Ovis aries: one gene and its partner. The main gene of each other region encodes a partner of the protein of the gene in region 2 in a complex. Links are inferred from orthologs where the notes say so. Each region holds a gene or a part of one and is shown on either strand. Other genes may lie near its edges.

What was found.
Region 1: the proteins of FMN2 (region 2) and SPIRE1 are in contact, whole or in part, in a crystal structure (PDB 2YLE), measured with the Homo sapiens proteins. The link is inferred for Ovis aries from reciprocal best matches to the Homo sapiens genes FMN2 and SPIRE1. Residues at the interface, in NP_064450.3 of Homo sapiens: Ser1702, Leu1703, Lys1705, Ile1706, Lys1707, Pro1708, Arg1709, His1710, Gly1713, Ile1714, Lys1715, Lys1717, Ile1718, Lys1721, Thr1722; in NP_001122098.1 of Homo sapiens: Gln51, Pro52, Ile53, Asn54, Glu127, Ile131, Tyr134, Lys135, Asp138, Leu141, Lys142, Glu143, Asn144, Glu145, Glu146, Arg147, Glu148, Glu154, Ile157, Asp158, Ala161, Asn162, Thr163, Val164, Glu165.

The regions. Positions count from the first base shown.
Region 1 is NC_056076.1:43,470,709-43,483,158, reverse strand, and holds part of SPIRE1 (protein spire homolog 1), read left to right. Parts: intron 1-5,186; coding exon 5,187-5,420; intron 5,421-12,450.
Region 2 is NC_056078.1:2,618,550-2,630,999, forward strand, and holds part of FMN2 (formin-2), read right to left. Parts: intron 10,234-12,450; coding exon 8,399-10,233; intron 6,907-8,398; coding exon 6,762-6,906; intron 1-6,761. UniProt on the Homo sapiens protein: Actin-binding protein that is involved in actin cytoskeleton assembly and reorganization. Acts as an actin nucleation factor and promotes assembly of actin filaments together with SPIRE1 and SPIRE2.

The DNA of each region.
Region 1 (12,450 bases), on a different chromosome or scaffold from region 2:
TTCTAACTCTGGCTTACTGAATCTCAGTTTCTTCATCTTTTGAGTTGTGGGGCTGATGGTATATGCTATACTTCTGAAGGGTACTGTAATGAGAATTCCGTAAGAAGTGCATGCAAATGTGTAGGGCAGGCCCATGCCTGTGTAGGTAAGCTCCCTAGATATTAGCTGTACGATGGAAATCTGCCATAAGCTATGTTTCTGTTATTTGTTCAACAAGGCTGTGACCAGAGCAGGTGTGTCCCAGCCACAGTGAGTCCAGCGACAGGGGTGGTTGTGCCATGGAACTTGTCAGTTAATTAGAAGCAAGCTTTTGACCTAATCTCAAGTGGGAAAAAATGTAAATTGAAGCAGGGATATGGTTTTAAATTAAAAGTCTAATAAAGAATTCTGGAATTAAAAAAAGATTTAGGCATATCTGTAGTTTTCCACAGTTTTGAATAAAAGTGCTTCCACAAACTGACAGAGTTGCCTGTCAGGACAATTAGTAGGTCAGCACTAGACAAATAAGAAAGGGAGTAGAGAGAACAAGGTCTATGAAGTAGACTGGAGCAGGTCCATGGAGCTTAAAAAAAGCAAAGTGGGACAAGGAGAGCAATTGTTCGCTGGAAAGTGAAGGTAGTAGTTTTCCAGCACAGAAGCCATAACCTCCGGTGGCAGTCACAATTTAACAACTGGTTTTGAAAGAAAGTATTCGGTTTAGGAATAAAAACCTCTTCTATTAAATATACAATAATCATATTCATATTAAATATTTTTGTAGCCTGTTTTAGTAGTGTGTGAAAGTGTGCTATTAACTTAGGTAGTACATTTATTTACACTGCAGTAAGATTTACTATAGTGAACATATTGAGTACATTGATATATTTACCTGGAAAAATCTTAATGCAAAAATTTTTTAATCTTTTTTCTCTATTAAAATTAGGCAATCTTAGAAACAGCTAAATAGTCATCAGCTGATAAATGGATGACTAAAATGAGGTCCCTCCACAAAGTGTAATATTGTTTGGCAATAAAAAGAAATGAAGTAGTGATACATGGATGGAGCTTGCAGTGAGACATGCTGAGTAACAGAAAAGTGAAGTTGCTCAGTCATGTCCGACTCTCTGTGACCCCACGGACTGTAGCCCACCAGGCTTCTCCATCCATGGGATTTTCCAGGCAAGAATACTGGAGTGGGTTGCCATTTCCTTCTCCAGGGGATCTTCTCAACCCAGGGATTGAACCTGGGTCTCCCGGATGGTAGGCAGATGCTTTACTGTCTAAGCCACCAGGGAAGTTGAGTAACAGACTTGTTGTATGACTTCATCTGTATGAATTGTTCAGAGCAAGTACCTTAGTAGAAACAGAAAGTAGTCTGATAATTGTCTACCAGCAGGAAGAGGATGGGGTTGGGGGAAAATGGTGAGTGACTGCTATTGGGTGTGGGGTTTCCCTAGGGTGAAGAAAACATTCTAGAATTGATTGTGGTCATGATTGCATAACTCTTAGGATATGGAAAACCACTGAGTTGTGTACTTTAAATGGGTGAATTGTATGGTATGTGATTATATCTTAAGAAAGCTGTTAACTTTTTAAAAAATTAAGCAATTTTAGAGAGTCCCTGACTTAAAAAAGCAAAGGCATTGAATAGATTATTCACACTGAACTATATCCTCCCTAATACCTAACCCAGGGGGCACCAACTCCAGTGCATGCTGGTCACTTAAGAAGCGGTTCCAGTGTGGAGCCCAGACCCACCCTGCAGGTTCCAATCCATGGTCTGCAGGCCTGGGAAGGGCTGAGACACTCACTTTCAACAGGTGCCTGAGGAATCTGCTGTTCTGTGTGTTAGAAATTGAGAGCCACTCAGGGAGAGTTCTCTTAGAATATTTTCCTATGTCTGTTGATCCAGTCTTTATTTTTATTCAGTTGCTTTGGCTGCCTTATCTGTACTAAAATACATATATTTAGCAATTTATTTAGAGTTTGAAATTATATCAGAACCACTCTAGCATTGCCTTATTATAGACCAGGTAGCTGAAGCCAGGTAAGTTGAGTTTTTTCTTGAGTCTCAAAGCTGCTAAGTGGGAGAATTGGAATCCAGGTTTTGGTCTGCTTAAGTCCAACCCAGTACTTTTTTTTTCTCAGTTATGTCGGGTCTTCACTGCTGCATGGAGGCTTTCTCTAGTTGTGGCGAGTGGGGGCTACTTACTAGTTGTGATGTGTGGTCTCTTCATTGGGGTGACTTCTTTCGTAGAATACAGGCTCTAGAGCATGGGCTCAATAGTTGTGGCACCCAGGCTTAGTTATCCTACAGTGTATGGAATTCCTGGATTAGGGATCGAACCCATGTCCCCTGCATTGGCAGCCAGATTTTTCACCACTGAATAGTCAGGAAAGTCCCAATCCAGTACTCTTTTCATTTGTGTTTCAGAATCTTGTCTTGTATCTAATAATAATCCCTTAACCGGGCTGAGACCACCACAGGTTTAGATCCTTTCTACCTGCTGTTTAGTGGCTCTTCCTCTTTATTGGCTCTGAGAGTTTGAACAGATTGCTTCACTTCTCTGTGCTTCAATTTCTTAATCAGAAGGAAGCAGGGTAAGAATAATGCCTACTTGATAGAATTGCTATGATGATTTAGTGATTCAGTACGTGTGGAGTGCTTGGCAGAGTCATTGACATGATTCTTGCTAAGTAAATGTTAGCTCTCATTTCTGATCATAGACTCAGACTCTCTCAGGGTCTAGATTTAGGAATATCTTTAAAAGGACAGTGAAATGAAATATGCATTTTCCTCAACATATCTGTGTTATAATTTTTCTGATGGGCCTTAGTAGGTAAAACCCAGAGCAGTGATTGTCGAATTTATGCAGAGGATGGAGCTACCACGCCTGTTACAGAACACATGATAAACTGTTTTAAAAATTGGAAATAATTTTGCTAGCAGAGAATGACTTTATTCTGTCTGTACAACATAAATTCACTTTAAGCATACATAGTCATGAGAAGGCTGTGGAATAAGCCTAATCAGTTCCTTGTAAATAGATGTTAAATTTGCATATTGTTAATTTGTTTGATCATCTGCCAGTAAGTATATTAGATGGCTTTGAGAGAATTGTCCTCATTAATGCACGTACTTCTGTGATTTGGAAAAAGCTGTTAATCCTGGATATTGGGGGTGCTTCGTGCCAGCCTGTGGGATGGCATGGTAACCTAGGGTCTTGGGAACCATTGTTTTATGGGCATAAGAGTGAGGGTAGACATGGGTCAAGCCAGATTATTTCTGGGAGTAACAGTTTGCTCTGTAGGGCTTAATGTTTTAAGACTATGATGGCAAAAAACTTGAGTTGTGAAAAATGATTTTTGTGGTTTTTGTAATTCAAAATTTATAAAAGTTTTATACGGTCTTACAAAAACATTCACGTAATAGAGAAAGAGCGACTGTTTGCCAAGCTCTCCTGGCCTCATTTACAGAGGTAACTTAACAGTTTGTCTGTTCTTCTAGAAAAATGTATAGTACCTGTATACACAGGCATATGTTTATTCTGCATATATTTATTGTGTATATCAGTGTTCTTATGCAGCTGCCTTTTGAACCATGATACATGCTGGGCATCTTGTTACATGTTGGTACACGTAGAGCTGCCCCATTGTGCACCTCATTGGTGGCACACTAAGTTTCAAAAGCTACAGTATGCTAGGCACTGTTCTAAGCTCTTTGCATGTATTATTACCTCACTTAATCTTCACAAGAACCTTATGAAGTAGGTACGGCTACTATCCCCATTTTGTACATGAGCTGACAGGCACAGAGGTACATGAGGCAGTTTTTCCAATAACACATGAGTAATGGAGCCAGGATGTGAACCCAGGCAAGTAACTTCATAGACTGCCTTTTTAACCAAAGCATGACATTTCCCCTGTGAATAGACATCACATTATTTTCTGTTTTTCATTGTAACTTATTTTTCTATAAATGGGTTATTAAATTTTCTAAACTTACTCTTATTTTTATATGTGTAGAAGGGATAACTAGCTTTTAACAAAGGAGAGAATTATCTGATTGTTTCTGTTTCACTCTGACATCTCAGTTATTGCCATCTGTGAAAGCCTTCTGTCTGGTGGGATCCTAGTTGACCCTTTCTCTTCCTCTCAAAGTTTTACTCTATCAGTTTCTCTAACTTTTGCTTATCTAATGAAAAATCAGGCTTATTCTTTGAAAGGTGAAATGTTCTAGTACTCCTATGTCACATACAAGCTTGCACATAGATATATGTGCATGTTTTTCATTTGGCTTGTTGATCATATTACAAGTCTCATATTGCAAGATCACACAGTCTTCGTTGTAATTTTTTTGTTTGTTTTTTTTAAATAAGTTTCTGAGGGAAATGTTTTAAAATTTCCTGCTGTGATAAGGGCTTATCATTTTTAATTAGTAATTATGACAGTTTTAGGTAAAACATTTGTGGTTTTATTTTAGAGCTGTATTGTTTGGTACATGCAAGTTCAGTTCACAATATTTTTGAGATGTTCCTTTCTGCCCTTTTAAATACTGCTTTTGCTGAATTCTCATTTTTGGATATTAACATTATTAGTGTGGTTTTCTTCTCATTTGTATTTTTCTGGAATGTACCTTTCCATCCTTTTAATCTTTCACCTGTTTTGCCTATCACATGTTTTACCTGTTTCCATTTATTGTGATTTCTGATGTATTTGCACTCATTTCCTTCATCTTATTTTGTGTTATCTGTTTGTCATGTCAGTCACACTGTCCTGCAGAGAAACATTCACCTGAAATAGTGAAGCTGCTGCCTCTTATTAGGAGCTGCATTCTCCAGTGTGCTCAGACCTCACCTGGCCATTCACTTTATCTCTGTGATCCCAGTAATAAGTTCCATGAGTGTGGGGTCCAGACTCTACCTATTTTCTTCACCACTGCACTCCGCACCAGATATGGGACCTGGTACAGAGGTGCTCCGTGAACATTTACTGAATGAATCGATGAATGTTCAGTTCAGTCGCATCTGAGATTTAAAAAAAAAAAACACAGATGAGACTTTTTAAGCTCCTCAAATTTAATGTGTCACATTTCTGAAATGGAATAGATTAGACGTAGCTTAAATATCATACTAAATGTTTTATGCCTTACAGTTCTATAAAGCTGTTCAGTTGTCTCTATTAACCGCCTTCCTTAATGTTCCTAGGTTATAGAATCTTTGGGAATTATTATTTATAAGGCACTGGACTATGGCTTGAAGGAGAATGAAGAAAGGGAGTTAAGCCCCCCACTGGAGCAGCTCATTGATCGCATGGCCAACACAGTAGAGACTGACGGCAGCAATGACGAGGGCTACGAGGCTGCAGATGAGGGTCTGGAGGAGGATGACGACGAAAAGAGGAAAGTTTCAGCCATCCGGTCCTATAGAGATGTCATGAAGGTAAAGTTTACAGCAGTATCTCTTTCTTTCAAGAGTTGTTATTTCACTTCAAAAAATTGATTAGCATTTGATAATAGTTCCTAGACTTTCAGCTTTCAGTGAAATACATTGTTGTTGTTATTTACTCACTAAGTTGTCTTCAGCTCTTTGCAACCCCATGGACTGCAACATGCCAGGCTTCCTTGTCCTTCACCATGTCCCAGAGTTTGCTCAGTTTCATGTCCATAATGAAATGCATAAGAGTATTCTAATTTCATTCTTTTACATGTAGCTGTCTAGTTTTCCTCCTACCATTTATTGAAGAGGCTGTTTTTTCTCCATTGTGTATTCTTGCCCCCTTTGTCATAGATTAGTTGACCATAGGTGTGTGAGTTTGCCTCTGGACTTCTTTCCTGTTCCATTGATGTGTGTCTGTTTTTGTGCCAGTATCCTACTGTTTCGATTACTGTAGTTTTGTAGTACAGTCAAAGCTCTGAAGTCAAGGAGCCTAATTCCTCTAGCTCTGTCTTTGTTGCTTTTCTTTTTTTCTCCCCACAAAATTGCTGTAGCTATTTGGGACCTTTTGTGTTTCCATACAGATCTTAAAATGTTTTGTTCTAGTTCTGAAAAGGTGAACCAAAGTCATGTCCAACTCTTTGCGAGCCCATGGAATTCTCCAGGCCATAATACTGGAGTGGGTAGCCTTTCTCTTCTTCAGGGGATCTTCCCAACCCAGGGATCGAACCCAGGTCTCCCACATTGCAGGCAGATTCTTTACCAACTGAACTACCAGGAAAATTCTGAAAAAGGCTATTGGTAATTTCATGGGGATTACATTGAATCTATAGATTAGAACAGTCTCTAATACCATACATAGAAACAAACTCAAACTGGATTAAAGACCTAAATGTAAGTCTGGGTACTATAAAACTTTTAAAGGAAAGCTTAGGCAGAACACTCTCTGCCTAAGATATTACATAAATCACAATAATATCTTTTTGCTTCACCTCCTAGAGTAATGAAAATAAAAACAAAAATGAACTGTGGGTATATTTGAGATAATCAGGAAAATTTTACCTTTTACTCTATAGTTGATGATATTAGGAATTATATTTTTAGATATTATAATAGAATTGTGAGTATATTTTTAAAAAACTCATTTAATGAATATATGGTGAAAATATCTACATGTGAAATTCAGATGTCTGGAATTTGTTATAAAATTATCCTTGAGGGGTGAGGCTTAAGTGGATGAAGATGTAGATAAAGTAAGATTGGCCATGAATTGATCATTGCTAAATTGGGTGATGGATGGTAATTCATTATACTGTCCACCTCATTTTATGTATGTTCAAAATTTTTCCACACAGTAATACTACTATTAGAAGTTTTTCAAAGAGGTCAGTTTTTTAAGCTCAGATATAATTGACATATAACATTATATTAGTTTCAACTGTACAAGGTAATGATTCCTTGTTTGTATAAATTGCAAAATGATCACCACAATAAGTTAACATCCATCACTACACATGGTTACAGATTTTTTTTCTTGTGATGAGAACTTTTAAGCTCTATCTTTCAGCAACTTTCAAATATTCGGTACAGTATTGTTAACCTTAGTCGCCATGCTGTACATTACATTCCTAGGACTGACTGAGTTTATAACTGGAAGTTTGTACCTTTTGACTGCCTTCACCCATTCTACTCTGTACCCCCAAAGCCCCAACCACTGGCATCACCAATCTGTTCTCTGTACAAGGAGATGATTTTTAAAATGAAATGTTACGTAGATACAAGGAGATGTGTATCACAGCATTAATTACACTGTTTTGAAACTGTAAATAAATGACTTCCAGAAAAATGGTATATCAGCTACATAGATTATCATATGGTCTTTAAAATTATAATCATGTAGGTTAAGTAGCAGTGTGGGAAATTTTTAATAAATGGAGAAAAGACCACAAAATTCTGCATGTACTGACTGGTGTGTGTATAAAGGAAAGACTGTGTATGCAGACATAGAGAACAAACTTGTGGACACAAGTCTGTAGAATTTCCACTCCTCCACAAGCGTCACTTGTTTGGTAACTGTAGAGGTCATTTGGGGCATGCTGCCTGTATGCTTTGTTCTAAGTGTTTCAGCACTTGAAGAAAATTGCTTCTTTTAGTGTGAGAACATTACTTCCTTTAGTGTAACTCATCCTGCAGTTAGACTGCCTGGGTTTACTTCCAATTCTGCTGGCTAGGTGTGTGGCTTGGGTAAATTCTTAGCTATTGTAAATTTCTATTTCTTAATCTCTAAATTGAATTGACATAAGAATTAGATGTGATGATGCATATACACACAAAGAATAAAATAATTATCAGGTAATTCATTGAAACTGAAATAATCACCGGAGTTATTTTTCCTCTAAGGGATTATTTCTCATCTGTCTCAGTGGAAACTTCATGAAATTTCATGGGCTTAAAAAAAATTTTTTTTTGTACATTAAAAAATTGTGGTAAAATACACATAACAAAGTTTACAGTTCACAATTTAGTGCCATTAAGTAATTCACGATACTATCCAGCTGTCAGCGCTATCTCAGTCCAAAGCCTATTCTTTATCCCAGATGGAAACCTATCCCTTCTCCAGCCCATGGCAGCCACTGATCAGCTTTCTGTCACTGTGGATTTATGTATTCTGGTATTTCATATAAATGGAATCATATGGTATATGACTTTTGGTGTCTAGCTTCTTAGACTGAGTGTAATGTTTTTAAGGTTCCATGTTGTAGCATGTGTCAGTACCTTTTTCCTTTTTATGGCTTAATAAGATTCCATTTTGTGAATATACCACAGTTTGTTTATCCACTCCTCAGCTAAGAATATTTGAATTATTTTCACCTTTTTTTTGGCTGCTGTGAATGGTGCTGGTATGAACATTTGTGTTTCAGTTTTTGTTTGAATACCTACTTAAAATTCTTTTGGAAATACACCTCAGGAATGGAATTGCTGGATCACATGGTAATTCTATCTTTAACTTTTTGAGAAACCATCAAGCTATTTTTCGCAGTGGCTTCACCATTTTCATTTCTACTAGCAATACACAAGGGTTCCAATTTCTCCACATTCTTGCTAACACTTACTTTCCATTTTCTCTTTGCTTTTATAGCCATCCTAGTGGTTGTGAGTGGTATCTAATTGTGGTTTTGATTTGCATTTTCTTAATGACTTGTGATGGTGAGAATCTTTTTATTTGCTTTTTGGCCATTTGTCTACTTTCTTTGGAAGAATGTCTGTTCAGGTCCGTTTTTAAATTAGGTTGTTTGTCTTTTGTTGAGTTTAAGAGTTCTTTACGCATTCCGAATAGTAGATCATTATTAGATATATGATTTGCAAATATTTTCTCTGCTTCTGTGGATTGTCTTCTCATGCGCTTGATAGAATCTTTTGATGTACATTTTTTTTTAAATTAGAGGATAATTGTTTTCACAAAGTAGTATTCGTTTCTGCTCTACAACAACGTGAATCAGCCAGAAGTATACATATATCCAGGTTAGGCATTGCTCTGCTGACAAAGGTCTGTATAGTCTTCCCAGTGGTCACACATGGTTGTGAAAGCTGGACCGTAAAGAAGGCAGAACACCAAAGAATTGATGCCTTCGAACTGTGGTGCTGGAGAAGACTTTTGAAAGTCTCTTGGACAGCAAGGAGATCAAACCAGTGAATATTAAGGGAGATAAACCCTGAATATTCACTGGAGGGACTGATGCTAAAGCTGAAGTTCCAGTATTTTGGTCCCTGATGTGAACAGACGACTCATTGGAAAAGTCCCTGATGCTGGGAAAGAGTGAGGGCAGAAGGAGAAGAGGCATCAGAGGATGAGATGGCTGGACGGCATCACTGATGCAGTGAACATGAACTTGGGCAAATTCTGGGAGATGGTGAGGGACAGGGAAGCCTGGCGTGCTGCAGTCCATGGGGTTGCAAAAAGTTGGACCTGACTGGGCAACTGAACAACATACATATATTCCCCTCCTTCTTGAACCTTCCCACCTCTTCCCACCCCTCTAGGTTGTCACAGAGCACTGAATTGAGTCCCTGTGGTACATAACAACTTCCCAATAGCTGTTTTACATAGGATACTATAAATGTTTCAGTGCTATTCTCTCAATCCATCCCACCCTCTCCTTCCCCCACTGTGTCTACAAGTCTGTTCTCTATGTCTGTGTCTCTATTGCTGCCCTGCAAATATGTTCATCTGTAACGTTTTTCTAGATTCCACACACACAGATACAGATATATGTCATTATACAATGCTTGTTTGTCTGACTTACTCCACTCTGTACAGTCTCTAGGTTAATACACCTCAGTTAAACTGCCTCAGATTCATTCCTTTTTATGGCCAGGTAATATTCCATTGTATGCATGCACCACAACTTCTTTATCCATTCATCTGTAGATGGACATTTAGGTCGCTTCCATGTCCTGGCTATTGTATATAGAGCTGCAGGGAACATTGGGATACATGTGTCTTGATTTTCTCAGGGTATGTGCCCAGTAGTGGGATTGATGGGTCATATGGTAGTTTTATTCCTAGCTTTTTAAGGAATCTCCATACTGTTCTCTATGGTGGCTGTACCAATTTACATTCCCACCAACAGTGCAAGAGGGTTCCCTTTTCTCTCCAGCATTTATTGTTTCTAGATTTTTTGATGATGGCCTTTTTGACTAGTGTACAATTTTAACTTTGAAGTCTAATTTATCCATTTATAGCCATACCTTAGGGGAATTGCAAGTTTAGCTCCAGACTACTGCAACAAAGCAAAGGTTGCAGTAAAGTGAGTTACATGAATATTTTGGTGTTTCCCATTGCATATAAAAGTTACATTTATACTATACTATAGTCTATTATAAAGTGTATAATAGCATTATATCTAAAAAACAATACATACTTTAAAATATAAAACAAAAAACCAGTTACAATAGTAACAGCAAAGATCACTGATCACATTACCACAACAAATACTAATAAAATAATAAAAGTTAATAATAATAAAATAAAGTAAATAATAAAATAATGATAAGAAAAAGTTTGAAATATTGTAAGAATTATCAAAATGTGCCACAGAGACAAGAAGTGAACAAATGCTGCTGGAATAATAGCACTGATAAACTTGCCTAATGCACAGGGTCACTACAAACCTTCAATTTGTTAAAAACACACTATCTGCAGTGCATAATATAGTGCTATAGTAAAGTAAGATATGCTGTATCTAGTGCTTTTGGTATCATATCTTAAAAACTGCTACAAAGTTCATGACCATGAAGGTTCACCACTATGAAGGTTCACTTCACCTTCGAAGAGTTTTATAGTTTTGACTCTTAAATGTAGATCACTGATCCATTTTGAGTTAATATTTATGTATGCTGTGACATAGGGGTACAATTTTTTTCCCCCATGTGGATATCCACTTTTCCAAGCATCATTTGTTGAAGAGACTATTCTTTCGCTCCGTAATGGTCTGGGCACTTTCATCAAAAATCAGTCAAGCATAGATATATGGGTTTATTTCTAGACTCTCAGTTGTGTGTCATCAATCTGTATATTTGTTGTTATGCAAGTACCACTTTGTTTTCATTACTGCAACTTTGAGGTAAGTTTTTTTTTATTATAGCAATAGTGAAATTTATTTTTATTTAATTTATTTTTTTATATTACTTTACTGTATTGGTTTTGCTATACATTGACATGAATCCGCCATGGGTGTACATGAGTTCCCAATCCTGAACCCCTCTCCCACCTCTCTCCCCATATCATCTCTCTGGGTCATCCCAGTGCACCAGCCCCAAGCATCCTGTATCCTGTATCAAACCTAGACTGGTGATTCATTTCTTACATGATAGTATACATGTTTCAATGCCATTCTCCCAAATCATCCTACCCTCTCCCTCTCCCTCAGAGTCCAAAAGTCTGTTCTATATATCTGTGTCTCTTTTGCTGACTCGCATTCAGGGTTATCATTACCATCTTTCTAAATTCCATATATATATGTTAGTATACTGTATTGGTGTTTTTCTTTCTGGCTTACTTCTCTCTGTATAATCAGCTCCAGTTTCATCCACCTCATTAGAACAGATTCAAATATATTCTTTTTAATGGCTGAGTAAGAGTTGACTCATTGGAAAAGACTTTGATGCTGGGAGGGATTGGGGGCAGGAGAAGAAGGGGACGACAGAGGATGAGATGGCTGGATGGCATCACTGACTCGATGGACGCAAGTCTGAGTGAACCCTGGGAGTTGGTGATGGACAGGGAGGCCTGGCGTGCTGCGATTCATGGGGTCTCAAAGAGTCGGACACGACTGAGGGACTGAACTGAACTGAACACTCCATTGTGTATATGTACCACAACTTTCTTATCCATTCGTCTGCTGATGGACATCGAGGTTGCTTGCATGTCCTGGCTGTAAAAAACAGTGCTGTGATGAATATTGGGGTACATGTGTCTCTTTCAATTCTGGTTTCCTTGGTGTATATGCCCAGCAGTGGGATTGCTGGGTCATAAGGCAGTTCAGTTTCCAGTTTTTTAAGAAATCGCCACACTGTTCTCCATAGTGGCTGTACTAGTTTGCACTCCCACCAACAGTGTAGGAGGGTTCCCTTTTCTCCACACCCTCTCCAGCATATATTGCTTGTAGACTTTTGGATCACAGCCATTCTGACTGGTGTGAAATGGTATCTCATTGTGGTCTTGATTTGCATTTCTCTGATGATGAGTGATGTTGAGCATCTTTTCATGTGTTTGTTAGCCATCTGTATGTCTTCTTTGGAGAAATGTCTATTTACTTCTTTGGCCCATTTTTTGATTGGGTCATTTATTTTTCTGGAATTGAGCTGCAGGAGTTGCTTGTATATTTTTGAGATTAGTTGTTTGTCAGTTGCTTCATTTGCTGTTATTTTCTCCCATTCCGAAGGCTGTCTTTTCACCTTGCTTTTAGTTTCCTTTGTTGTGCAGAAGCTTTTAATTTTAATTAGATCCCACTTGTTTATTTTTGTTTTTATTTCC
Region 2 (12,450 bases):
TACCGCACCCAGCAAGGATCTCATTCAAATATGAAGGAGAAATCAAGAGATTTACAGACAAGCAAAAGCTGAGAGAATTCAGCACCACCAAACCAGCTCTCCAACAAATGCTAAAGGATCTTCTCTAGACAGGAAACACAAAAGGGTGTATAAACCCGAACCCAAAACAATAAAGTAAATGGCAATGGGATCATAGTGAAAGTAAAAGTGAAGTCGCTCCGTCATGTTCGACTCTTTGCAGCCCCATGGACGGGTGAAAACACAACAACCCAAAACCTGTGGGACACTATAAAAGCAGTGCTAAGGGGAAAGTTCATAGCAATACAGGCATACCTCAAGAAACAAGAAAAAGTCAAATAAATAACCTAACTCTACACCTAAAGCAACTAGAAAAGGAAGAAATGAAGAACCCCAGGGATAGTAGAAGGAAAGAAATCTTAAAAATTAGGGCAGAAATAAATGCAAAAGAAACAAAAGAGACCATAGCAAAAATCAACAAAGCCAAAAGCTTGTTCTTTGACAGGATAAATAAAACTGACAAACCATTAGCCAGACTCATCAAGAAACAAAAAGAGAAAAATCAAATCAATAAAAATTAGAAATGAAAATGGAGAGATCACAACAGACAACACAGAAATACAAAGGATCATAAGAGTCTACTATTAGCAATTATATGCCAATAAAATGGACAACGTGGAAGAAATGCACAAATTCTTAGAAAAGTACAACTTTCCAAAACTGAACTAGGAAGAAATAGAAAATCTTAACAGACCCATCACAAGCATGGAAATTGAAACTGTAATCAGAAATCTTCCAGCAAACAAAAGCCCAGGTCCAGACGGCTTCACAACTGAATTCTACCAAAAAATTTGAGAAGAACTAACACCTATCCTACTCAAACTCTTCCAGAAAATTGCAGAGGAAGGTAAACTTCCAAACTCATTCTATGAGGCCACTATCACCATAATACCAAAACCTGACAAAGATGTCACAAAAAAAGAAAACTACAGGCCAATATCACTGATGAACATAGATGTAAAAATCCTTAACAAAATTCTAGCAATCAGAATCCAACAACACATTAAAAAGATCATACATCATGACCAAGTGGGCTTTATCCCAGGGATGCAAGGATTCTTCAATATCCGCAAATCAATCAATGTAATTCACATTAGCAAATTGAAAAATAAAAGCCCTATGATTATCTCAATAGACGCAGAGAAAACCTTTGACAAAATTCAACATCCATTTATGATAAAAACTCTCCAGAAAGCAGGAATAGAAGGAACATACTTCAACATAATAAAACCTATATATGACAAACTCACAGCAAACATTATCCTCAATGGTGAAAAATTGAAAGCATTTCCCCTAAAGTCAGGAACAAGACAAGGGTGCCCACTTTCACCGCTACTATTCAACATAGTTCTGGAAGTTTTGGCCACAGCAATCAGAGCAGAAAAAGAAATAAAAGGAATCCAAATTGGAAAAGAAGAAATAAAACTCTCACTGTTTGCAGATGACATGATCCTCTACATAGAAAATCCTAAAGACTCCACCAGAAAATTACTAGAGCTAATCAATGAATATAGTAAAGTTGCGGGATATAAAATCAACACAGAGAAATCCCTTGCATTCCTATACACTAATAATGAGAAAGTAGAAAAAGAAATTAAGGAAACAATTCCATTCACCATTGCAATGAAAAGAATAAAATACTTAGGAATATATTACCTCACAACCCAGATAATCATGATATGATGTGATCACTAATCTAGAGCCAGACATCTTGGAATGTAAAGTCAAGTGGGCCTTAGAAAGCATCACTACGAACAAAGCTAGTGGAGGTGATGGAATTCCAGTTGAGCTGTTTCAAATCCTGAAAGATGACGCTGTGAAAGTGCTGCACTCAATATGCCAGCAAGTTTGGAAAACTCAGCAGTGGCCACAGGACTGGAAAACGTCAGTTTTCATTCCAATTCCAAAGAAAGGCAATGCAAAAGAATGCTCAAACTATCACACAATTGCATTTATCTCACATGCTAGTAAAGTAATGCTCAAAATTCTCCAAGCCAGGCTTCAGCAATACGTGAACCGTGAACTCCCTGATGTTCAAGCTGGTTTTCGAAAAGGTAGAGGAACCAGAGATCAAATTGCCAACATCCGCTGGATCATGGAAAAAGCAAGAGAGTTCCAGAAAAACATCTATTTCTGCTTTATTGACTATGCCAAAGCCTTTGACTGTGTGGATCACAAGAAACTGTGGAAAATTCTTCAAGAGATGGGAATACCAGACCACCTAACCTGCCTCTTGAGAAATCTGTATGCAGGTCAGGAAGCAACAGTTAGAACTGGACATGGAACAACAGACTGGTTCCAAATAGGAAAAGGAGTACATCGAGGCTGTATATTGTCACCCTGTTTATTTAACTTATATGCAGAGTACATCATGAGAAACGCTGGACTGGAAGAAACACAAGCTGGAATCAAGATTGCCGGGAGAAATATCAGTAACTTCAGATATGCAGATGACACCACCCTGATGGCAGACAGTGAAGAGGAGCTAAAAAGCCTCTTGATGAAAGTGAAAAGGAGAGTGAAAAAGTTGGCTTAAAGCTCAACATTCAGAAAACAAAGATCATGGCATCTGGTCCCATCACTTCATGGGAAATAGATGGGGAAACAGTGGAAACAGGGTCAGACTTTATTTTGGGGGGCTCCAAAATCACTGCAGATGGTGACTGCAGCCATGAAATTAAAAGACGCTTACTCCTTGGAAGAAAAGTTATGACCAACCTAGACAGTATATTCAAAAGCAGAGACATTACTTTGCCAACTAAGGTCCATCTAGTCAAGGCTATGGTTTTTCCTGTGGTCATGTATGGATGTGAGAGTTGGACTGTGAAGAAGGCTGAGCGCTGAAGAATTGATGCATTTGAACTGTGGTGTTGGAGAAGACTCTTGAGGGTACTAAATTTTTATGATGTATTCTTCCAAACAGATCTAAATTGTCTTATTATAATTGGTATTTCAGATATTATTTTAGGTCTAAGAGACAAACAGAACCATCCAACCAAAACATAGCCTTCCCATGCTACAATAAGAAAACTTAACACCAATACAAACAACTAGGCCTGTCAGAGTATCATGCAGGCCATCAGCCTGTGAACACTGAAATATCCACTGACACTGATATCCATAGAAATATGATAAAACATATTTTAAATACTAAAGATAAAGATTTGCAATTAGTAAAAGTAAGGCACAGGGACTTCCCTGGTGATCCAGTGGATAAGAATTTGCCTGCCAATCCAGGTTCACTCCCTGGTCTGGGAAGATCACACATGCCACGGAGCTGCTAAGCCTATACACCACAACCACGGAGCCCATGCACAAGGATGGGCGAGGCTGATGTCAGGCTGCAGAGACAGTGGCAGCAGAGGGTAAGCCGAGCCCACACGCCTGCAGGCTCCCCAGCTGTCATGTTTCCACTGTTACTATTACTACTGCTGAAGCTGCTGCTGCTACTGTTTCCCAAAATATGTCATCCGAGGAACTCATCTGACATTGGATTAACTAGAAACTTCTTTTTGAGGGAATTCTTACTGTCAAAATTATCCCAGTGTACATCCTCTCACTTTCCTGCTCATAAGCTCAGTTAAACTTAATCTTTAATTGGACATGAAGATCTTGAAGTGGCTTAGGAGCACTTAGGATCACTCAACATTAACAGTCAGTGAGCTCGCCTGTCAGTGGCAAAACATGGGTCACTTGTGCTCGCTCTAGGATCACATGTATTTGCTGTAGAGGGTTTCTTAAGAACCTTAAAAATGGACAGGTTTGCGTGTATGCGCAATGTGTCAAACAGGGGCCTCAGGCGACACTGGTTTTTCCATCTTCCTCATGATTCTTTGGGAAATGGGACTGCTATTGTGCCAAATCAGCAGGTTGATGTTTAATTCTGACCTGGCAGCATCACAGTCATTTGTTGAAGGAGAACTAGGTGAAACAACAGTCTGATAAACCCCCTGTACCTTCTCAGCAAATCTCCTTATGTTTTCATAGCCACAGTGAAGATGGGTGAGCTAAGACATCAGCGCAGAACTTAAGCACAAGTGCCATGAGAAAAGGTGAAAGGCTCTGTCTTGAGTTACTTGGTGGAGAAAGGATTGAGAAATACCAGACACTCCTCACTGTTGCCACTCGGCACCCACAGAGTATCTTCTTTCTCATCATGCCACACAGCAAGGTGTCCAGCTGAGGAACCTCCATTACCACAACGAAGACGTGTTTTCTGAGAGTTGTTAAAGGCCAGAACATTCAGCCACACTCTTAGTTTCAAGGAGACAACAGATCACAAAAATATTTTAGCTATTTTGAACTATTTAAAGAAAACCGGAATTCTTAGCTTCCATCATATATGAGAAGAATAGCTTGAAACATCTTCATAAAACCAGGTCACAGCATTAATGGCTATTAATTTCGCTGGAAATGAATGTCTGCATATGATAAGGGGAACCACTTGTTAACAGTTTGAACTGTGCATGTCTACGTACACCCTGATTTTTTTTCAATAGTAAATATTGCAGTGCTGCACGAGCTTAGGGTGGTTGCATCCATGGACATGGAACCATACAGAGGGACCCCAAGTACAAGGGACTGACTCTTAATTTAAATGGAGATTTTCAGCTGCTCAGAGGGCTGGCACTCTTGACCCCATATTGCCTGTATCTGGAAAATATGTTTTCCTTAAGCAAAATTTTAAATTAGACGGAAATTTTAAAGTAGATGGAATGGATAGATTTTTCTTCCAAACACAACACAGTTAAATAAAACTCACTTTCTTCAGCCATATAACTGTTTGTAGTAGATTGGTCTTTCACCAACACATGAGAAAAACAAACAAACAAACAAACAAACACTTTTCCTTCCAAAAACAAATCTGAAAAGCAGGGCTGAGAACTAGACCCTGACCAAGAAAATGCTGACAGGCCACTGGGAGTCAGGATGGAGACGGGTCCACAAACTGTCTTGAAGCTGAAGGTCAACAGCTGCACCACCACCAATGGGCACAAATGACAACCCCGGCAAAGGCCTGTCCCCATGGTTTACGGAACAGGCTCGCGACAGGGTGAGGCAACTGTGCTGAGCTGATGCTCCACTCAGACGTGCAGCTCGCATGAAAGGAGGCATCTCATGCCAACTAGCTGAGGTTGCTGTCTTCATGATTTGGACATAATCTCAAAGCAATCATAAAATCCTACACTTCCAGGCATTATGAGACAGCTTCCTTGTCTATGTTCACTTAACAAAGGAAAGGAAGTAATAGGAGGCAGGGAGGGCAAAAATTTCATCCCATAAAACAGATGCCCCATGTCATTCCTGTCCGCTTGATCGGTGAAGGCCCTGATGCCCAGCCCTCCATGGCATATGCTGCCCTGCCCATATTCCTCACCTAAACAGCTTTTCCATCACCAGTACCATCGACGAGAAGAGACATGATGACTCAGTCTATGCGTCCTATATACAAAGATGCTGTGGGAAAGATTTTTAGACTATTTATCTCTGCCAGAAAAAAATGTGGTTCCCCATTTACCTTTATTCCATGACAGAGCCACCTTGACCAAATTGATTATTGTGAGATAAGTGATTTTCTGGCTTTAATCATTATCAGGAATAGTCATGGGTATGTATAAAGTCCTCCTCCTACAGTTGCCTGGTTTATTTGCAGAACAAATGTTTATTCAGTGCCCACAAGGTGCAGGTTTACCATTGTTTCTGATTAAAAGTCACCAGCAACCAGCTGTGTCACAATAAATGGTTCTGAAAAATTCACTGTGTCACATTTGAGCGTCAGAGCAATAGAGATGTGTGGCGTGAGTCTGAAATGAATACGGATGAAAACAACTCTGGGTCAGACATCTAGCTACAACTTCCAGGTCAGAGCAAAAGTTCACAGGACCATATCACCCCTCAGTTTTCACTCATCTGAGGAGGCTGTACCAGGAGAGTCCCGAGGCTTCAGACCTCAATTCTCTTTCTTTCACCCAAAAAGACAGAGCTGCTACCACACCTCTTCAGGATGAAAGATGAACACCAACAGCAGCACCTTCCTTCTGAGCTCATTGTTCTGGGCTTTACTATACTTTCCTGTATGGCTACCTTGAGAGATACACAAAATTAGTTCATGATCAAGGCCACTGTGTGGACCAGTGGGAAAATATTGTATGAAAATGTTTTCTTCCAAATGCACTTTTCTTTCTCTGGGACTCAAGTGTCACAGGATGCATCAAAGGATCTAACACAGAATGGAGATGCTGGAACTGGATACAAGAGTCTCTTCTCTGTGTCAAGTTCAAGGTGATTATTTAGCTAGGTTCTACAGGGCACTCAGTTGTTAGAATAGGAACAAAATACCAAACACGAGATCGGTTACTAAGGACTGGATTTCTTGCTTGATTTCCAGTTTGTTTCTAGGCAACTAATTATAACAACAAGCAATTGCTAAAAGCTTGGAAATATGGATCGTGGGGCTACAAATCAAATAGTCAGAACATGATCACTTGGTGGAGATGATTACTTGCTATTCTATCTGGGAAAGTCTTATTTAACCACATGTTCTAAAACGCTAACCCCTACTATCTGCTTACAGACAGTGGAACGGACACAGCCCTGAAAATGGTGTCAAAGTTTTTCTCCAATGAAAGTTCACACTTATACCCAAAATACTGTCCAATTTCAGAAAACACACGAATACTCACTTGCTTAGCCTTAGTCTTTGTGATGGTGTCAGAAATGGGTTTCTTCCTTTCCTTGACAGTAGATTTAGAAAACAATTCCTCAAATTCATGACAATCTATGGATGGCTCTTCAATTTTTTCCCAAATAAGTGAAGCACTGGAGTCTCTAAAGTTAAGCAAAAACCCATGAGAGAGGCGTCAAGCTGGACTGCAGGGACAGGAGGACACAGGCACCAGAGGGGCCAGGAGAGGATGAAGGGAGGTTGGGGATGGGGGAGATCCATCCCCATCCCATTTTCTGTAAGATCAGCACTTGTTTAATCAACCAACATGATGAGAAACAGCATCAACACAGGATGGAACCTTTGCCTAGAAAGGAATTCTTTCTAGGCATTGCCAGGAATTCTCAGTCATCAAGTCATTGTATAAAACATGTAAGAACCCTTTTTAGTATGGATCTCCAGGCAAGAAATGTCTGATATCTCACATTCCAACCTGACCCATAAGTTTCATGGGTTAAAAATAAATCACTTTCTGCCTACAGAGTGGCATTTCTGTCTCCCTACCACTGTCCAGCACTCATGTCATCTGACTCCTCAGTGACCATAGAGACAGGTAGTACCACCTGAAAATGAAGGTTCATTTTAAAAAGCAAAACAACAAAATAAAAGAACTTCATATAATGCATATGGAAAAAATGAGTTTGGAGCACAGCTGGAAATGATGCCTCAGCAATTAGGAGTGACTCGGAAAAGTACTCAGAGAATGAACAGCAAAGTTAGAAGCAGTGATTCTCCACTATGATTCAGATAAGAGAAAATTAATATAAGAAATGAAGATGAGTCTAGTAAACATCCTATTTCTAAATCTGTGCCACATCACAGACAGCCACAAATTCAAAGTCATGAGAACTCGGGATAACAAAGTCCAGGGGAAATTTAAAGGGCATGTTTTCTCTGGCACCACCCCAGGGTTCAGGGAACCAGGTTATGGACCATCCATGGGTAAGTAATACACCAGCAGCAAACCTGCTGGGAGGCATTCTTTTATAAATATCATGTCTTTCGTAAAAGTCATGTAAGTCTGTGATTTTGTGACCTCACAGTGTTGCAAATCATCTATAGAAGTGCCATGAAATGATCAGACCTAAATCATTTCACACACAGGGTGAAATCCACACATGTGGATTTTTGTGTATCACTTTTCTGAATAGTAAAACAAGACCATGCCTTCAAAAGGATGCAGAATACATCCTCAAGGGTTTGTCTGTTTAATGATTTGATTTACTTTTATAAGTTATTTGTCAGAGTGAGGCTTTGCAAAAAGGCAACAGCTCACATAAGCTAAGAAAGATCTATCCATCAATCCTTAAAAGGTCGATTAAAAATTAACCATGTTGAGGTTTGACAGAAAACAACAAAATTCTGTAAAGCAATTATCCTTCAATTAAAAAAGAAATTAATTAAAAAAACTATATAGATAGAAATGTGTACATTGATACACATGATTTATCACTTGGATACTTCTGGAGAAAAGTCTAAAATTGCTCCACTAAATACTGATGTAAAAATCTACAGACTAGCTTTGGAGTGGTACAGAGAGGAAACCACTTCTCTCATGTTGACAAATTATGCAAAGAGGAACGCCGCTGGTGTTACCTTCTACTGTGCAGCTGAATTCTTGTCCAATATAGAGGCTTCATTGGCCGACAAGGCTCTACTGGCTGCTTCCTACTCCCTTTTTCCTGATTCATCCCAAATCCAAACAAGCCAAGAGGCAACGGAGGAGGAAGAAAGCCACACACCTGAGGTGTCGGTAAAGTGCTACTCCCAACTTGTCCTGGGAGAGGAAGGCCTGATCCAGCAGTGGGTGGGGGCGGAGGGGTTAGAGGAGGTGGAATCCCCACACCAGGAGGAGGAGGAGGAGGAGGTGGGGCAGGAGGTATTCCTTCACTGGAAAGAGGTGGGGGAGGAGGAATTCCCACTCCGGGAAGAGGGGGGGTGGGGGGTATTCCCATGCCTGGAAGAGGAGGGGGAGGAGGGATGCCCACCCCGGGAAGGGGAGGGGGAGGAGGGATGCCCACCCCGGGAAGGGGAGGGGGAGGAGGGATGCCCACCCCGGGAAGAGGGGGCGCTGGAGGGATCCCCACCCCGGGAAGAGGAGGGGCGGGAGGGATCCCCACCATGGGAAGAGGGGGGGCAGGAGGGATCCCCACCCCGGGAAGAGGGGGCGCTGGAGGGATCCCCACCCCGGGAAGAGGGGGCGCTGGAGGGATCCCCACCCCGGGAAGGGGAGGGGCGGGAGGGATCCCCACCCCGGGAAGGGGAGGGGCGGGAGGGATCCCCACCCCGGGAAGAGGAGGGGCGGGAGGGATCCCCACCCCGGGAAGAGGAGGGGCGGGAGGGATCCCCACCGAGGGAAGAAAAGGGGCGGGAGGGATCCCCACCGCGGGAAGAGGGGGAGCGGGAGGGATCCCCACCCCGGGAAGGGGAGGGGCGGGAGGGATCCCCACCCCGGGAAGGGGAGGGGCGGGAGGGATCCCCACCCCGGGAAGGGGAGGGGCGGGAGGGATCCCCACCCCGGGAAGGGGAGGGGCGGGAGGGATCCCCACCCCGGGAAGGGGAGGGGCGGGAGGGATCCCCACCCCGGGAAGGGGAGGGGCGGGAGGGATCCCCACCCCGGGAAGGGGAGGGGCGGGAGGGATCCCCACCCCGGGAAGGGGAGGGGCGGGAGGGATCCCCACCCCGGGAAGGGGAGGGGCAGGGGGAATTCCCACTCCAGGCAAAGGTGGAGGAGGGGGTGGCAGCATCTCTGGACCTAGACGAGGAGGAGGTGAGAGGCCTGCTGGACTGGGCAGTGCAGGCCCAGGTGCACTGGGGGTCAGGGGTGCTGGGGAAGCCTCGGCGCCCACGCCAGGCATCAGAGGGGAGGTCTCTGGAGGCAGAGGTGGTGCAGTGGGGATGTCACAGCCGTTTCCAGAGTAGGGGAAAGCAGAGTGCTCCTGGCTGGTTTCAAACCCAGTGTGAAGAGGATGGGAAGGCTGGGACCCCGCCTGTCCATGACTGTCAGACCAGGGGAGGGATGCAGGCGGTGGAGGCTGGAGGGATGGCTGTGCATCAAGCTGAACTGATATTCGCCTTGGAGACACGACCAAAGAGATTTCTGAGCAGAACATGGTCTGAGGTCCCGAAGACAAGGGCAGCCCCGCTGATTCTCCATGTGCGGTCAAGGGTAGGGGGCCCACCAGCGGGGCCCCCCCAGGAGGACGCGCCAGCACACCACCGTCTTCCATCGGGGACGTCTGGATGGACTTGGCCTGTACGATCCTTTCATATCCGACATCCTTTTCTCCCAGCTTGAGGGCTTCCAGACCCGTGTCTAGGGCGGGATATTGTTTCTCCAGCTCAGCTATCTTGGTCTTCAGATCCTCGATGGTCTGCTCCAGCCGCTGGATGACAGTGGCCTGACCCTCAGACTTCATGTCGCACACTTCCTGGGGGGCAACACAGACATCACAGTTGAACAGAAAATCAGGGATACTCCAAACATCAAAAACTAGACCCACCAAACTCAGCAAAATGTATTCGTTTGTTACTTCTAAAAGCTCGCTCCATGGAAACACATTATTAGTTCTACTATGTGTCCCTTCTTCTCTGCCCTTGGATTTCAAAGTGGATTACATAGATGACCATGAGGTCCTAAGGCCCTTCTCTAATTAATCTTCAAATGAAATCGTGGAAGATCAGCAGACCTCAGTGAAGAGGGAAACCAAGGCTGAGTGACCCACTTAATTTCACCATAGACCACTCTCCTTCTTGCCCAGTAACATCTGCTATATGAGGACATTTCCCAAAGATATTTTAAATTCTAAGTTTTAAAGTTAATTGCAACTTCTAAAGAGTAATCTCTATAGGAGTCCCCAGTAAAATCATAAGAAATATTTGTAACACCCACACAAGCATGTATAGGCATGTCTTACGTGCATGTATAGAACTTATATCACACTTATTACAATTCAAATATTTTATTCAAGGCATTTCAGAAAGGGATACCTTTGGTCACCACAATTTATCACAATGGCCAAGAGCAACTGTGCCCATGTATGGGTCACTCTCACCCCCAGACGGTACCTTCCTCTCCCAAAGCATGCCATCAATCTTTCAAGGAAAAGGACTTTGGGTAGAGAAAAGGGGAAAACCCTCTCAGTAAACTGACTGCCAATAACATATGAGTAAGAAGAAAAGAGGAGGCAGAGGAGTGGGCAGAGAAAAATGAGGAAAGCAGGAACAGGAGAAGGAAGAAGAGGGGATAGACCCCAACTGAGTGAAGCGCAGGTCAGACACCTGATCACACAGGTTCACCTGTCCCCCATCGATGTGGGGATGAGAGGGCCCAGAACTGCTTCTCCAGAGCGTCCAGGGCTTTTCACACAATACCCCAACAGAGGCCACCATCCACAGCATGGACATGTTACTACCTTCCCCACATGGGAGCCAGGCCTGCTCTTAACCTATCAATTGAGAGGTGATACAAAGATGATGCAAAGTATGAAACTAAACTCCTATCCTGCTTGCCAAATGCTAAATCCAAAAAAAAAAGTCTCCACAAAATAAAAAATAACTTACTTTACTATTTTTTAAAAATTCAAAACAAATATATAACCCATTTACAGTGGAAAAGCTGCAGACAGACAAGACAGAAATGAATATTTACAATAAATGAAGCATTTTTGGTGTTATGCGTATATTTATTTAAAATCTTCACAGGTAGTTTCTTTTTGCATGGGGGTAGGGAAGGTATAAAGATAACAGTCTTAATCCTAAACCCATTATTTCTTCTCTAAAAATTCTATATTTTACTATAACATTTCACTTGCTGAACATCAATTATGATGCTTATTAAAAGCAGAACTTGTAACTTCAAAGACAAGCACCTATACAAGGTACTTATTTCCCTATAATCAAAAAATACCAAATAGCCCTTACTGTGAAAGAAAGCTGAAAAGGAAATTAACTTACCTTTTAAGTAATAAAGAAATATAAACACTTATTATAGGCAAAATTGTGACAGGCACTTCTATTTATGGGTGTGTGTGTGTGTGTGTGTGTGTGTGTGTGTGTATATATATGAAATCTAAGTCACTATTTTTCACCAATGTCTATACAAAAGACTAAAGAATTACAATACATAGGTTGGGAAATCATGTCATATATTCTCTAAATAGTCCATGGTAAAAGAAATAACTATAATAAAATAATTTGTAATATCCTATTTAGCCATTGTAGTTAACTTCACTCTCCAATTATGATGCTAGTAAGCACAAGAAAATCCAACCTAATAAAATTATAAATATTCACTATTTTTGCCTTATGGGTTAGTAAAATATATAGATTACTTTCATTTTTCCAGTATAATCTTAGGAGTGACCATTAAGCTTAGATAAGTCTTTTTTGAGTTGTCCTGGTATGAAGTAATGCTCTCATTTTCTCATTTCTGTAATGAACATATAAAAAGGCTGCTTGATAAAAGGCATGCAACTAGTATATTCTAGAAGTGTTTTCCAAAACTCAATTATTAAAAAAATTTTTTACTGGGATATAGTTGATATATGTTTCAGGTATACAACACAGGGATTTACAATTTCTAAAAAGTTATATTCCATTTACAATTACTATAAAATATTGCCTATATTCCCTGTGCTGGACTATAT